Linked DNA regions of Schizosaccharomyces pombe. The protein of the gene in region 1 interacts with the protein of each later gene in a pairwise test. Each region holds a gene or a part of one and is shown in the gene's direction. Other genes may lie near its edges.

What was found.
Region 2: the proteins of get3 (region 1) and pex14 interact in a two-hybrid assay, tested with the Schizosaccharomyces pombe proteins (one large-scale study listed by BioGRID).
Region 3: the proteins of get3 (region 1) and cnx1 interact in a two-hybrid assay, tested with the Schizosaccharomyces pombe proteins (one large-scale study listed by BioGRID).
Region 4: the proteins of get3 (region 1) and gup1 interact in a two-hybrid assay, tested with the Schizosaccharomyces pombe proteins (one large-scale study listed by BioGRID).

What each region holds. Positions count from the first base shown.
Region 1 is NC_003424.3:3,635,176-3,638,890, forward strand, and holds get3 (GET complex ATPase subunit Get3), read left to right. Parts: upstream 1-1,834; 5' UTR 1,835-1,926; coding exon 1,927-2,916; 3' UTR 2,917-3,215; downstream 3,216-3,715. Other genes in the region: Cu transporter complex subunit Ctr5, read left to right, coding at 590-1,111; ESCRT III complex subunit Vps32, read right to left, coding at 3,596-3,715. UniProt on the Schizosaccharomyces pombe protein: ATPase required for the post-translational delivery of tail-anchored (TA) proteins to the endoplasmic reticulum. Recognizes and selectively binds the transmembrane domain of TA proteins in the cytosol.
Region 2 is NC_003423.3:3,730,761-3,734,421, reverse strand, and holds pex14 (protein Pex14), read left to right. Parts: upstream 1-2,022; 5' UTR 2,023-2,069; coding exon 2,070-2,342; exon of another isoform or gene 2,343-2,402; coding exon 2,403-2,990; 3' UTR 2,991-3,125; downstream 3,126-3,661. Other genes in the region: abh1 (alpha-ketoglutarate-dependent dioxygenase), read left to right, coding at 660-1,428, 1,492-1,616; mpg2 (mannose-1-phosphate guanyltransferase), read right to left, coding at 3,198-3,661. UniProt on the Schizosaccharomyces pombe protein: Component of the PEX13-PEX14 docking complex, a translocon channel that specifically mediates the import of peroxisomal cargo proteins bound to PEX5 receptor.
Region 3 is NC_003424.3:2,085,826-2,089,971, reverse strand, and holds cnx1 (calnexin Cnx1), read left to right. Parts: upstream 1-1,647; 5' UTR 1,648-1,674; coding exon 1,675-3,357; 3' UTR 3,358-3,579; downstream 3,580-4,146. Other genes in the region: CLIP170 family protein Tip1, read right to left, coding at 1-185; pex13 (peroxin 13), read right to left, coding at 3,858-4,146.
Region 4 is NC_003424.3:488,425-492,717, forward strand, and holds gup1 (MBOAT family O-acyltransferase), read left to right. Parts: upstream 1-1,555; 5' UTR 1,556-1,591; coding exon 1,592-1,838; intron 1,839-1,913; coding exon 1,914-2,347; intron 2,348-2,387; coding exon 2,388-2,507; intron 2,508-2,554; coding exon 2,555-2,725; intron 2,726-2,761; coding exon 2,762-3,434; exon of another isoform or gene 3,435-3,480; coding exon 3,481-3,587; 3' UTR 3,588-3,757; downstream 3,758-4,293. Other genes in the region: cul3 (cullin 3), read right to left, coding at 1-93, 150-191; TIM23 translocase complex subunit Tim15, read left to right, coding at 355-605, 650-926; dop1 (family protein DOPEY), read left to right, coding at 4,037-4,052, 4,088-4,206, 4,249-4,293. UniProt on the Schizosaccharomyces pombe protein: Membrane-bound O-acyltransferase involved in the remodeling of glycosylphosphatidylinositol (GPI) anchors. Acts only on GPI-anchored proteins, but not on free GPI lipids.

The sequences.
Region 1 (3,715 bases):
AAATTCCTTTGTATGTTTGATTTAATTAATTAATTAATTTTGCTTTTTTTTTTTATTTTTATATTCTTTTCGATTAACGCGACCCGCCGCAATACCTTAATCACCATTTGGCGGGAATTTTGCTGAGCGATTATAGCTGGTAGTTTTTACCCAAAGGAGAAAAAGTCGCATATCAGTAGATGATGCTTTTAAACTGCTATAAAAGGTAATCCTACCCCCGTTCACTTTGAAGCGATATTTGAGCGTTCAGCTTAATTGAACATTCAGGACTTGAAAAAAACCTGTAGTGATCATTCTAATTCAAGTGTATAGGTAGCAGTAAGAAGTTGCTAAATTATACATTTTGTCTGTCTGCGAAAAAGGCCCAGCTCATAGAGAGATATTTCGCTTAAAGGTGGTAAAACTAGTGTTATTAACTTACTTTCAACAAAAGACATTTGTTTTCGCATTGTTCCGGTTATACTTGTTATTTTAGTTTAAGACGCTTTCCATTGAGTGTCTTCTTTTCTTTCTTTTTATCGGCTCTTATCCTTTATTGACAGATACCTAAGATACTTCTCAATATTTGGCTAACGCTTCTTGCAACAAAATGAGCTTAAGTAAGATGAGTATGAGTGGCATGAGTGGCATGGGTATGGGTAGCTCCAGTAACTCGAGTGCTGCGACATGTCGCATGAGTATGCTATGGAATTGGTATATACATGACTCGTGTTTCCTGGCTAAATCCTGGCATATCAACACTGGAAACAAATTCGCCGGTAGTATTATTGGAATTTTTTTCTTCGCCGTCGCTATTGAAGGTTTGTCCCTCGTTCAAAGAATGTTTGATCGCTGGATTGTTGCTCACTCTAATGGCAAAACTTTAAGTGGACCTCTGCGTATCTTCTTTCCAAGTTCCACTGTGCATGTTACTGTCTGGCAACAACTAATACGAGCAGCCATGTATTCATCGTTTTACTTGTCCGCTACCATCCTCATGTTGATTGTAATGTCGTTTAACGGATATGCCATTTTGTTCGGTTTCGTAGGTGCTTGGATAGGATTTTTCCTTTTCGCGAGTGATACTTATGGAACCCCATCCACTGGTACTGGATGCTGCGAATCAAGATAGTCATATTTAATTGTACAGGGGTATTCATAAGGATCCGATTTTAATGTACTATTAATACTTTTTACGATTGTTTTTGTTTGGTGTTGGGTTTCGATAGTGTGTTTTATGTTTTTCTTTGTTTGCTTATCAGGGATTATATTCAGACTTAGAAATAATAACTTTTTCTTTAATTCAGTTTAATATATCTCCTCTATCGGTATGCAAAAACTGGTAGTTTACTAAATATGTTGTTGATATGGATGCAAATTTATATGATGGTACAAAATAGTATATTCTCTGCTCAGTATGATTCAAAGTTGTTCCTTGATTTCTTGTGAGTGCTTTAGTCATCAACAAACATCTGTAGCTCTGATCCTTGATTTACGTTGAATGATTCCATGTAGTTCTTTTCTTTATAACGAATATGGTAATCGAGCTTCAGCAGGCCAAAACATATTATACGATTAGAAAATCCATTTAAAGGAATTTTTTTAATTATGAAATTTCAGCATACCGTATTTAGCATTCTACTAGCATGGCTTTACGAATCCTTGATAAAAAACTTACTTAATTGTTATATTGCTAGCGTATCAAAAATAGGAACAAAACATGCTATACACTATTAATTGTAGTTGCAATGTACAATTATTAAGTCTTTAATTAAATTTTTATCTCTGATCGTTGGGAACTGATCTGCCGCGTACTTAGGATCTTCATTTTCACTTGCAAACTGTCGTAACACCTATCCTCAGCATATCGCATCGTGCATCTGGTCAACGAGAGTCTATAAGAAGACTAGCTTCAGATTAAAAAAAAAAATTCTCTAATAAAGTAAAATGTCCTTCGACCCATTGCCTGGAACCTTAGAAAACCTTCTTGAGCAAACTTCCTTAAAATGGATTTTTGTAGGAGGAAAAGGCGGTGTAGGAAAAACAACTACGTCGTGTTCATTGGCCATTCAAATGTCAAAAGTTAGATCCTCTGTTCTACTTATCTCCACGGATCCTGCTCACAATCTTTCTGATGCCTTTGGCACGAAATTTGGAAAAGACGCTCGTAAGGTTCCTGGTTTTGATAATCTGAGTGCCATGGAGATCGATCCTAATTTATCCATTCAGGAAATGACAGAGCAAGCTGACCAACAAAATCCCAATAATCCTTTATCTGGAATGATGCAGGATTTGGCTTTTACAATACCAGGTATCGACGAGGCATTGGCATTCGCTGAAATCCTTAAGCAGATCAAATCTATGGAATTTGATTGTGTCATTTTCGATACCGCTCCTACTGGACATACGTTAAGATTTTTGAATTTTCCAACTGTTTTGGAAAAAGCTCTCGGCAAGCTTGGCGGTCTCTCCAGTAGATTTGGCCCTATGATTAACCAAATGGGTAGCATAATGGGTGTAAATGCCAATGAACAAGATCTATTTGGAAAGATGGAAAGCATGCGTGCTAATATTTCTGAAGTTAACAAGCAATTTAAGAATCCAGATCTTACTACTTTTGTGTGTGTATGTATTTCCGAGTTCCTTTCTCTTTATGAAACTGAAAGAATGATTCAAGAACTTACTAGTTATGAAATTGATACTCACAACATCGTTGTTAACCAACTTTTGCTTGATCCCAACACCACTTGTCCCCAGTGTATGGCTAGAAGAAAAATGCAACAAAAATATTTGGCGCAAATTGAAGAGCTCTATGAAGACTTTCATGTTGTCAAAGTACCGCAAGTTCCAGCTGAAGTTCGCGGTACTGAAGCTTTGAAGTCTTTCTCTGAGATGTTGGTCAAGCCTTACGTTTATCCTACTTCTGGCAAAGAATAATGTATTTTTTCAATCTTATCCACTGCTGTTAATAAGGGTGTCAAAAGCCTCTAAATGTATATTTTTTAACAAATTGATTGACAGCTTGAATATGCATATTAGAATGGCTGTTTCTAAGTTTTTACATTACTTTTATTTTGTTGAAGAATTCTTATCGTTTCCTCAGTTGAGCTTGACTATTTGCCAAAGCAAATAAACCAAAAGCGCTAGGTTGATACACTGTTTAATGATTAAACACAACAGGATTCTGAGCACACTGTTTAGATTAATATTAATCAATTTGACAAGATATGAACGTGTCTGGAATAACTCAAAACATTAAAAAGTTAACTTGAACTAACAGTCATTTGATACAGTTGTTTTAGTAGAATGAAGAAGACGTAATATGTAAAATTCTTCAGCTAGTTTTTCCGTAGATTATTTAACTACACCAATTATTAAAATACAATGAAAAAACACACATCCGAACATGAGGACGGAGACCTATAAGTTATAGTCTAATAATGGTATTGTACATAAAATTTGTATTTAGGCTTCCATGATGACTCATAACAAGGAAAACATAGAATACTAACAACTGACAAATTAAATAATTCCATAAGTTATAACAGAAACCTTAGAAGATGACTTTAACATATTGAGAAAATAATAAAAATACCGAGCAAGCGTACTGGTCACTTTAAAGAGAGAATTCAGCCTGTAGTTTTCGAAGTTCTTCTTCTTCATCCAATTCTTGAGGCTTTGAAATAGAAGGGAGGTCTTTGACTTGAGACGGGACAGCAGGAACAGCAGGAGTGTG
Region 2 (3,661 bases), on another chromosome or scaffold:
GAATTGTTGACATAGGTTACTTTAAGATATTTTCAGACTGCGAGTTTAAAAACAAAATCGATTGACATCGGTATATTTTCTATTGGACCTACGTAAATGAATAAATTACTATAAAAAACATTTCATCTCATTCAAGTCTTAAACTGATCCCATCACTTTATTAAAAGTAAAATCTTCTTATTTTTTTCATTCACGACACTGTGTTTATACGAATTGTTTTATAGGGAATTTTGGCAGTGATTATAACTCAATTTGTAGTTACGTATAAAAGTGTTCTATTCTTTAACAACTTCGAATGTTTGCCTGTTTCTTCTATTTTTTGTATGATAAAATACCACTTTTCGGTAAAATGAATAGTATTGTTGGGTCTTGCTGCTTTAAAAGGGTTAACCATTTAAAGCGTATTTAAGAACTTCGCATTTAAAATATGCCAAAGTATATTAATTGAGAATATGTATAAAAGATGTAAAGGTAATAAATATTACGCATTATGGTAAAAATTGAATTAAGTTGTACTATGGTTCTTACTGTATTTAATTATCTATGACTGTCTGGGAGAAAAACCTTGCAAGTGGCCTAAACTTTTTCATTCAGTCTCTATTAAATGATCTGTCGATTTCTCCACATAAAGTTAGTTTATTGAAATGCTAGCGGGAAACATGGAACAGGCGAATGTTTTTCGTTTAGAAGAAAAACGCTATAAATGTCGTGCCGACACAATTCCTGACATGTCTGAGGTCCTTGATCCTAATGATCCCCAGTCTTTTGGATTTGAAGCTTTAGTTGAAATTAAACCTAGAGTTTTTTCTTTTCAAAAAGCTCCTGGATTATTAATTCTTAAAAACTATGTTTCATCGGAACTGCAAATGCAGCTGTTAAAATCTATAATGTTTACGCAAATTCAAGATCCTGAAAACAAGACCAACCTTTCACCATTTTATCAACTACCATTAGGTAATGATAGCATATGGCGCAGATATTACAATGGTGATGGAGAAAGTATCATTGACGGCCTTGGAGAAACTAAGCCTTTGACGGTTGACAGACTAGTTCATAAAAAGCTTCGATGGGTTACACTAGGTGAACAGTATGACTGGACGACGAAGGAGTATCCTGATCCTTCCAAATCTCCTGGGTTTCCCAAAGATTTAGGTGACTTTGTTGAAAAGGTTGTTAAAGAGAGCACAGATTTTTTACATTGGAAAGCTGAAGCTGCAATCGTAAATTTTTATTCTCCTGGTGACACATTGAGTGCACATATCGATGAATCTGAAGAGGATTTGACACTTCCATTAATTTCTCTCTCAATGGGTTTGGATTGCATATATTTGATCGGTACCGAGTCGAGGTCGGAAAAGCCTTCAGCTTTACGTTTACACAGTGGAGACGTTGTAATTATGACTGGAACTTCTAGAAAGGCTTTCCATGGTAAGCATTGTTCATTCAAATACCTCATTTATAGTCAATTGATTGCTTACTAACTTACCGCAGCTGTTCCTAAGATTATACCCAACTCTACGCCTAATTACCTATTGACTGGAAACAAGGCTTGGGATGGATGGATTTCAAGAAAGCGAGTGAACTTCAATGTTAGACAGGTTAGGCCTTCTAGATAATGTAAATATGGTTATTTTTAATAAAATAGAAATTGTTTTTAGGGCTTAGGAATGATTGATACCATAATTACATATATATCATGTGCTTACTTGTTTTGTCAATATTTTGTTCCTTCTATTGAACTTTCGAAAAATAATTTTTTTATTTAACACTGTATTAAACCACCAAACAATAAGAAACAATTTTTTCTTTAATTTGTCAGTTAATAACTTTCGGCGTAATATAACCAGAACAATTCATTAGCGTACTTTCACAAATTAATTTGACAAATTAAACAATTGTGTAATCCCATTCTTAAAAAAACATAAACCTCGACATTTCCAAGCTTGTTTAGAGAATTATCGTGAAATTACTATCTTGCAGTCCGGAGTTTACTCAATATATTTCAGTTGCTTATTTCCATACAACTACTAACTAGCGAATTCGGTACAAAGCATTTGTCAATTTGAAAAATGAGGGAGGATTTGTTAAGAAACTCCGTTGAATTTTTAAGAGAAAAAACTGTATTAGATGCTCCTGATGTGAAAAAGATTGAATTTCTAAAATCCAAAGGTTTAACTGCCGAAGAAATTCAAGAAGCATTCAAGCTAGCAAAAAATCCGCTATTCCCTTCTTATCCTCGATTTGAAAACACTAGTAATTTTGTTTCAAGAGATTGGAGAGATTGGTTTATTATGGGCGTTATTTCGACTGGATTTGCATGGTCGGCGTATTCATTAGTAAAGGTACGTTCAAAAAACTGAACATTTAAAATATTCGTGCTGTTTTAACATAATTAAATTTAGAAATACATAGCACCAATGTTTCGCGCACCATCTCAAAACGCTTATGAAGCTGATAAAAACGCTTTGGATGCTAAATTTCTAGAAGCTCATAAAATACTCGAAAATTTAGATGAACAAACAAGAAAGCTTTCCGAGAGAACTGAAAAACAGCAAGATGAATTGGACATTGCGTTAGATGATTTAGAAGAGACGTTGAATACTTTGAAGCGTACGTCCGAAAACCGAGATCGTGAAATAGCTAGAATCTCACAAGATGTATATACCATGAGTACTATTACTTTACCACAAAGTCTTGAGCAAATTAAGAAATCTCAAGAAGAAGCATTACAAAACCTTTCGAGAGAAATTAGCTCTCTACGATGTTTACAAACTGATTCAAAAAAAGACGACACTTTCGCTACCACATCAAACTCTTCGATACCAGTATTAGAGAATCCTTTAGATACTTCAGAAGGTTTTCAAACTAAAAAGGTTGGTACTGCCTCCCTTCCAGATTGGCAAATATCAATGCATAACGAGGCTTCTAAAAACATTGATTTCAATGATATTGATCCCGCAGAGTCTTACGTTGCAGAAGATGCTTATTGACAGTAATAAAACAAATCACTAATAACAATTAAATTCAGGATTTTTTCTAGAATAATACTTAATGTCATTTAACTGGTCTGTCAAGACGCATCTTAATCATTTAACAATCTGCATTCTGCATCAGCTAATAAATGTATATTATATAATAAAGGAGAGTCAAGTAGATATAATAAAAAGCAAGTTTGCTGCAAGGTTAAATGTAGTATCTTACATCACAATCTCACCAACCAAACCAACCTTTATTTCTTTATGAGGAAGTACAAGGCAATTTTGAACGCGTACTTCATCATGGACTATACAATCGGCGCCCATAACAGTAATAGCTTGGACTTTAACGCTGTTACGCATAATCGTAGTGGAGTGCTGGCTTGGAAGAGTTGGAGAACCTTCGACTCGAGACCATTTACCAATCTTGCAATGGCGGGAAAGAATGGAATGTAAAACAACAGCATTGGCAGAAATTTCGCAATCCTCTTGAATAATTGAGTTTCGAATACGTGCGCCATCCTCGATGCGAACACGAGCACCAATTGAAACATTGGGTCCAATCTTTGCACCTTTGCTAACAATAGCATTAGGATGAATAAAAACCGGCTGAATGATCTCAGCCTCAGTGTCGGGTTTTGGAAGAGTACCATCATGATATGCCTTTTGTAAATACAAGGAATTAG
Region 3 (4,146 bases), 1.5 Mb from region 1:
TCGTTGTTTTTAGTTTTGAAGTATTCACGACCATCAACGACGCCTCTGTTTTTACCAAACTCGGCAAATTCAGGTAAAAGCTCCAAGCCGACATACACACCTTTTCGGTTTTCCACTTCTCCAGCATAACGGACAAACCCCCGCTCTCCGGTTATTACCTCAACGACACTGCCAAGAGGAAACATTTAGAGGAAAATTTAGGAATATTAATAAAAGATTCAAAAGTTTCTCGATGACAAAAATAGAGCTATAAGGTTTGAAGGAGTAAAGTTGAAAATGGAACGTAGAAAATGCTGACGTGGTATAAGGAATAAAAAGAAAGAGACAATTTGAAACCAAAAGATTGTAATCAAGTATTAGGGGGATAACAAAAAATTCAATTCGTAGATAAATGAATATATCTATTTGCTGCCGACAAAAGATCGTAAATTAAGTACTCAAGTAACCAATTTTCCAGCTTATTTGATTTGATATATGTTATACTAGCAGTGAGAAAGGGAGAAGAATTAAAAGAAGGTTAACCAATATCCAAAATTGAGGTAACTATTGATGAAATTACTATGGTCAAGTCTCAACTTTCCAATTAAGTTTTTAGATTATCAATTAAAGATCTTCATCTAAACAAAATTTAAAAGAAATATAATAAATACAGTTGAAAGCAAGCAAACGCACCGTGGTGTACTAATCCTATGAATATAGGTGGGTACTGGTAAAGTGGTATTTGCTCGAACTGCTTAGAGGTAACATTGCTACTTAATCAAAATTAAAAGTAAACAAAACAATGAATAAATATACTCAATACAAAATAGTTGTTTTATCACAACAACAAATCTTTGTTTACTAACTAACTCTTTAATAAAAATTATATGTATCAGATGTTGTAAAACTTATTATACTAGAGTATGAAAGCAATTTACGAAGTGCAAAGCGGTGTGTTTTTATTAATAGATATTACTCTCATAGATTTCATGTTTCAATCTGTTACCAAGACAATAGTCATCTTTCTCTTTAACCCGGTAGATATTTGCACTTAATAATGATGGACTTGCTAAAAAAATATTTGCTATTTGAGATTTTGCTAAAGGCTAACTATAAACTATTTAAAAAAAAAACATATTAAATATTGTGATTGTCCCAATTTTGAGCTAATGGTGTACGAGAATAAAAAAACTTGTTTGATACCTGACAGTTGTTATGCGTCAGACTAAAGCATATTCTAATGATTGAAGATTCAAAGACTACGAGTATAGCGCTTTCAAGGCTTTATGACTAGTGATAGTTTGTAAACTTTTATTTTATCTCATTGTTTGCATTACTCTTTTTTTTTACTTAATGGGGAGAACAATTAAAGCCAAATACTTAGTATATTAAAATGCAAACGTTTACTGTAAACATGTTACTGCAACCTTCATTATAGCAAGACATTGCGCTCCGTAATTCACAAAGTAAGAAGTAAAATAAATATAAAGATCTAATGCAAATACAACTTACCAGATAGGTCTTTCAAATCTAATCATCTAAGTTTAATGCGATTTGTTTTTCGTTCCGGAACCTTCTCCATTATTCTTTCGATTATGTTTGCTGATCCATCTCATCGATCAAAGCCGTAGTACTACCAAAACACACGCAAAACCGCGCACCGTAGTTATCAACTACACCACCCAACACGTGGAAATGAAGTACGGAAAGGTATCTTTTCTAGCGCTTTTGTGCTCTTTATATGTTCGGGGATCACTTGCTGATCCTGAATCCGAACAAGAACCTTTGGTTTTTAACCCAACTGAAGTGAAAGCGCCTCTTGTTGAGCAGTTTCAAGGTGCATGGTCTGAACGTTGGATTCCTTCACATGCTAAACGATTTGTAAATGGTATTGAAGAAATGAGCTATGTAGGTGAATGGACTGTTGAGGAAAGTTCTGGTCCCGGTGCCCTTAAGGGTGAAGCCGGTCTCGTTATGAAAGACGAAGCCGCTCATCATGCTATTTCTTATGAATTTGATGAACCCATAAATGAACCAGAAAAGGATTTGGTAGTTCAATATGAGGTTAACCCCGAAGAGGGTCTGAACTGTGGTGGTGCATATTTAAAGCTCTTAGCAGAACCCACTCATGGTGAAATGTCAAACTCCATCGATTACAGAATCATGTTTGGACCCGACAAATGTGGTGTTAATGACCGTGTTCATTTTATCTTCAAGCATAAGAATCCCCTTACGGGTGAGTATTCCGAGAAGCATCTCGACTCTAGACCCGCCAGCCTTTTGAAACCTGGTATTACAAACCTTTACACTTTAATTGTGAAGCCTGACCAAACCTTCGAAGTCCGTATTAATGGCGATGTTGTCCGTCAAGGATCTTTGTTTTATGATTTTATACCTCCTGTTCTTCCTCCCGTTGAAATTTACGATCCCGAAGATATCAAGCCTGCTGATTGGGTTGACGAACCTGAAATTCCTGACCCCAATGCGGTTAAGCCTGATGATTGGGATGAAGACGCTCCCCGTATGATTCCTGATCCTGACGCAGTGAAACCTGAGGATTGGTTAGAGGATGAACCTCTTTACATTCCTGATCCTGAAGCTCAGAAGCCTGAGGATTGGGATGATGAAGAAGATGGTGATTGGATTCCAAGTGAAATCATCAATCCTAAATGCATTGAAGGTGCTGGCTGTGGTGAATGGAAGCCACCGATGATTCGTAACCCTAACTATCGTGGCCCTTGGTCTCCTCCTATGATCCCTAATCCTGAATTCATTGGTGAATGGTATCCTCGTAAAATTCCTAACCCTGACTATTTTGATGATGATCATCCTTCTCATTTCGGTCCACTCTACGGTGTTGGTTTCGAACTTTGGACTATGCAGCCCAACATCCGCTTTAGCAATATCTATGTCGGCCATTCAATTGAGGACGCTGAACGTCTTGGAAATGAAACTTTCCTACCTAAATTGAAAGCTGAAAGAGAATTACTTTCTAAGCAAGAGTCCATGGAAAAGCAATCAATGCATGTTGACGAAGAGTCTAATCAAATTCTTGAGAAGTTTCTTGACGTATATGATATTATTAAAGCTAAACTTCCTCCAAATGTTGCCGAAAAAGTTGACTACTATGTTGAAACCATCATCGAGACTCCTGAAATTGGGATTGCAATTGTTGCCGTTCTTGGCTCTTTAACCGCTGTTATTCTTACTTGTTACTTTTATTTCTTTGCTTCCTCTTCCCCGGCTTCTTTATCTACTGGAACTACGGAAGCTGAGAAAGAGCAGCAAGAGAAGTTTAAGCAAGAGACTGAGACTGAGAAGATAGACGTTTCTTACGCTCCCGAAACTGAATCACCAACTGCGAAGAATGAAGACTAATGAAACTGCTAAAATGTCAAAAGTTTTTCTTATTTTAAGAATCGCATAGAAGTTGCAATAAACTACTTCCTGTTCCTTTGTGGACTTTTGACTGAAGTAAATGAATATATCAATATATATACTCACTAATACAGCATATTTTGTTTACAAAGTTTGACTCAAAGTAGCGACTCTGTTAAAAGCCTTAGTCTAATTATAAAATACTTGAAAATGTTTTCTCTAGTTCTTATTATGAGTAATATCAATAAATAGACTATGAATTTATAAATCGTGGGTAGTACTATCAAAAAACTTTTTACAACTGCGCATTAGTCGTCAGAGAGAAATGATCAGGCATTTCCCATAAACAAGTGCAAGTAATGCGTGAAATTCTGCAATCAAGAGAAAGGATGTTTGTCTACATATCTTGTGAGAATAGTAGAATAAATTGTCAAACTAAAAAGTTCGTTTACTATACGGGATTCAGACATTTTATTGTCCTCAAACAAAATATCGTAACGTTACCTTGAAATGATTGAACAATAATTTGAAGGAAACCACCCAGTCTCGCCAGATCTCTTTCTTCCTTGCCACCATTCGCAAGGATTACCTTGGGTGTCTGTTTTAGATAGAATTGCTATGATATCTCCTTTTTTTAAAGACATTTCCACTCCCGGATCTCTGGACATAAACTCATAATCAGCCTTGCAAAACTCAAGACTATCAATTTTTTTTCTGATTTTTGCTTGTTGAATCTGTTTTTCTTTTTCATAAATATTTTTGAATAACCTAATTATTGCATAAGGTAAG
Region 4 (4,293 bases), 3.1 Mb from region 1:
CGATAATTGAGATGTGCTTTTCTGAAATATATCCCCAATAGCTCGCTGCAAGACTTCCCAATGTGTAGCAAAGTCTACTTGGTTAGCAGAAAACTAAATGTCAGTATGTGAGGAAAATAATAAGGACAGCATGCATCAGGTACACTTACTTTTCGTGGCGCTCGAATTTTTAACTTCGCTGACCGCTGCATTAATAATGGAATTTAAAGTTAAGTTTCAACAAAAAAGCTAAATATATGGGCATATGAGTTTGCATAAAGAAACGCCAGCACAGACGGAAGTAATGGTACAAAAGGTGGTAGAAGGTACTAACTACGAACAACATTCTCCGAACACAAAAATTTTTCAAACATAATGTGGAGCTTTGCACGGTATACTCAAAAATTCTGTTTACGAAATTTGCAGTTAAAAAATTTTTCAAACAAGGTAAAGGTTTCAAGTTTACTTTTCTGTTCCCCGAATGTGAGAAACATTTCTAATTGGCAATGCAAACGCTTCACTCAAAGCGATGCTAAAGATCTTGCAAGTGGTGTTCCCTCTGTAAAATCAGATGCTGATCAATTACAACCTAAACCGACTTATAATGTTTCTTTTACTTGTACCGTGTAAGTATTTATAATTTCATTGAAGGATACTAACCAAATGAAAGATGTAACACTAGGTCAAATCACAATTTCTCCAAGCAGGCCTACCATAATGGGACCGTTTTAGTTCAATGTCCTAAGTGCAAAAATCGGCACTTGATGGCTGATCATTTAAAAATATTCTCTGAAGAACGGGTGACGATTGAAGACATTTTAGCTAAGAAAGGGGAAACTTTTAAAAAAGGCTATGGTCAAGTAATCAATGGCAATGTTGTAGAATTTAAGCCCCCTCAATTTAAAATTCGACCAGCAAAATCATCTTCTTCCAATTCTTCCAAATGAACTAGGAGAGCGATCAAATTGGGTTTAGGAGCATATAAATTGCAAGATATAGTCATTGTTTATTTTAATTTCTATAGTATATATTATTTTTATTTATTTTTGTAATACTTTGGTCAATATATACGACGTTCTAATAGAACATTTAATTATTATATGAGCTTGTTAACTTGAAATTATCTTTTGAATTTTTAGACTAGATGTGATAATTTAGCAATCATTGAGCAAATCATATCCAAAAAAAAATAAATTAATTAATTAATTATAAAAATTAACGATTTTAGAGATCTAAATGGGCTATACAGAATTATTGCAAACGAATGTAAAACATTTTTCAATATATAAGTTGCTAATTTACCAAAATCAAAATTTAGTCTTTAAAGATGCTTAATTAATATTTCTATTTTAATAGCGCGTTTTGTATAGTGCTGACTATTTTATTCATTCCAATAAACAATACAAACTGAATTTATTATTTTTAAAAATATAATTGATTTCATCATACTCTCTCTACCTTACTCTTAAAATTATTTACGGACTATGAAGCTGACACAAAGTGTAAATTACGCAGTGTCTTGCATTTTGCTAGTGAACACCACTAGGTTTGTTTACTCTATGATATTTTGAGAACCGACCATCTTCTTTGCTGTTGGTAGGAGACTTCTAGGATGTTACGTTTATTTCGATTTGATGTTCTTGAGACTTCGACCAAAGATACTGAAAGACCCAATTCTAAAAGTTCACGGTTAAGTTCGACTTCTGGTTCAAGTCATCCATCTTCATCTTCACGTTTGACCGTTCGAAGCGCAGTTCCGGAAAAGAGCGCTTTTGGTTCCATAGAATTTATTTTTTACTTTTCTGTCATTCTATCGATTCTAACAATTGCTTGTTTTAAAATTCATTATGTTAGTTCTCGTAAGTGTCAAAAGCTTTAATCAGCCTTTTCTATTTATCAATTTGAAATAAAGTAAGCAACTAACTAGGCGTCAGCAAAACATCCCAATTACAAAAACATTGAAAAATATTTAAAGCCTGGGTGGTTGTTTGGACAAAAAGTCGATTCCGCTGATTTTCAGTATTCCGCGTTTCGTGAAAATATGCCAATCTTACTACTTGTAATTATTGTCTATAATTTTCTCTGGAGACTCGTTAAGCTTGTCTTCACAAAAAATACTAATGATGAACTCGCTATAAAAAACAACTATCGACTTTGCTTCTCCCTGCTGTTTGCATTACTTGTCTACGGGACTGGCGTTATATATGTTTTAACAATTGCATTGATCAATTATCTCATTTCTAAGTCTCTAAAGAACAGTATTTTTAATCCACTCTTGACATGGACATTAGATATATCAGTGGTGTTTTTTAAAGAATATTTTGCCTATTGCAAATTTTCTAGCCTTCATCCAGGCCTAGGGTTTTTGGTACGCTATCTTTAGCCATCAGATGTTAATCTTTTTACAGGATCAATATACTGGGATTCTTGAGCGCTGGTATGTTCTTTTTAACATTACCATGCTTCGGCTCGTGTCATTTAATATGGATTATTACTGGTCCTTAAAGCACAACTCTGAAAAACTTAACGTAAGTTTGAGCACATGCCTTTTGAGTTTATAAATAATAACCATTAGACTCTAATATTTGACAAAGATCGTGAGCCAACAACATTGACGTTTCGTGAAAGGGTTGATTATTCTTGTCTTGATGAAGATTATAATCTTAAGAATTTTTTGACATACATTTTTTATGCCCCTTTATATTTAGCGGGCCCTATCATTTCGTTCAACAATTTTATGTCCCAGGTAAATTGTTTAATTAAATTTTCTGCTAATATTTAGATGAAATATCCCACAGTTTCAACGCTAAAATACAGGAACCTTCTTTATGCAATTCGATTTTTAGTATGTGTTCTCACCATGGAGTTTTTACTTCACTATGCATACGTTACTGCTATTTCTAAGGACGGAAATTGGAATCAATACAGTGCGGTTGAATCCGCAATGATAAGCTTTATCGTTCTATTTATGACTTGGCTAAAATTGCTTATACCGTGGCGATTATTTAGATTATGGTCATTAATTGATGATATCGAACCTCCCGAAAACATAGTTCGATGCATGTGTAACAACTATTCAGCTGTTGGATTTTGGCGAGCATGGCACCGTAGTTTCAATCGATGGTTGATTAGGTATATTTACGTTCCTTTAGGAGGAAGTAATCATTCAATCTTGAACTTATTTATTATATTCACCTTTGTCGCTCTTTGGCATGACATCAGTTGGGAATTATTTGCGTGGGGTTGGTTAATTGTACTATTTATTCTTCCAGAACGATTATGCTGCTTTATGTCGCGTAGAACTGGTCTTACTAAGCACCCTTACTATAGATACATCTCTGGATTTGGGGCTGCTCTAAATATTTACTTTATGATCATTTGCAACTTGATTGGATTCGCAGTTGGAATTGATGGAATTAAAAATGTTCTTGTCTCATTTTTTCTGACCCTCAAAGGTAAGAAATTTATCTATTTTCGGATTTGTATAACTAATTATTATAGGTGCAATGTCCGCGATAGCAGCATTTATAATGTTCTTCTCTGCTGTACAAATCATGTTTCAAATTCGCGTAAATGAAGAAGAAGAAGGAATTAACTTGCGTTGCTGAATATTAGTATTAAAAAAAAAATACGTGGATCATTACTAATTTTTTTATTTCGTACTTTTTTAATACTTGTTTGTTGTAATAATCATCAGTAATTATTTGGAAAATTACCTGTTCAATTTTGTGAGGTTCTTACTGTGGGATTGAGTATTAGTAACAATAGCACATACCGCGTTTTTAAAATAATGGTTCTGGTATAATTTACAAAAAGAATGAATAATTACTAAATTTACTTGTGACTTTTTTAAAAGTCCATCCAAATAATTGTTTACAGTTTTATCGTAAATAAATACTCAGAAGCACATATTGCAAGTCACAGACTTCTAACTCACTATACCCCAGATATATGCTAGCGTAGCTTAGCCTTATTCCTAGCCTTGCCAACTAACCAACAAGTGCAATAGTTTCTATGCAGTCATATTGAATTTATACCCGTATTTTATGAGCGTATTATGAACACTATAATTGGTACGATTTTAATATGATCTTACATTAACTTTTAGACGCTTCGAATGATGCTAAATATCGAAAATACCAAGACGCCATACGAAAATGCATAGCTTTATTCCAAACTGTAGAACAATGGCCCGATTATATCTCCTTTTTAACAAAGCTGCACAAGGTAAGTGATTTCACTTATATTTATACACAGACTAATATCAAGGTTTTGCAAACTCACTCTTCGTTTGTTAATATTCCGTGTAGTTTA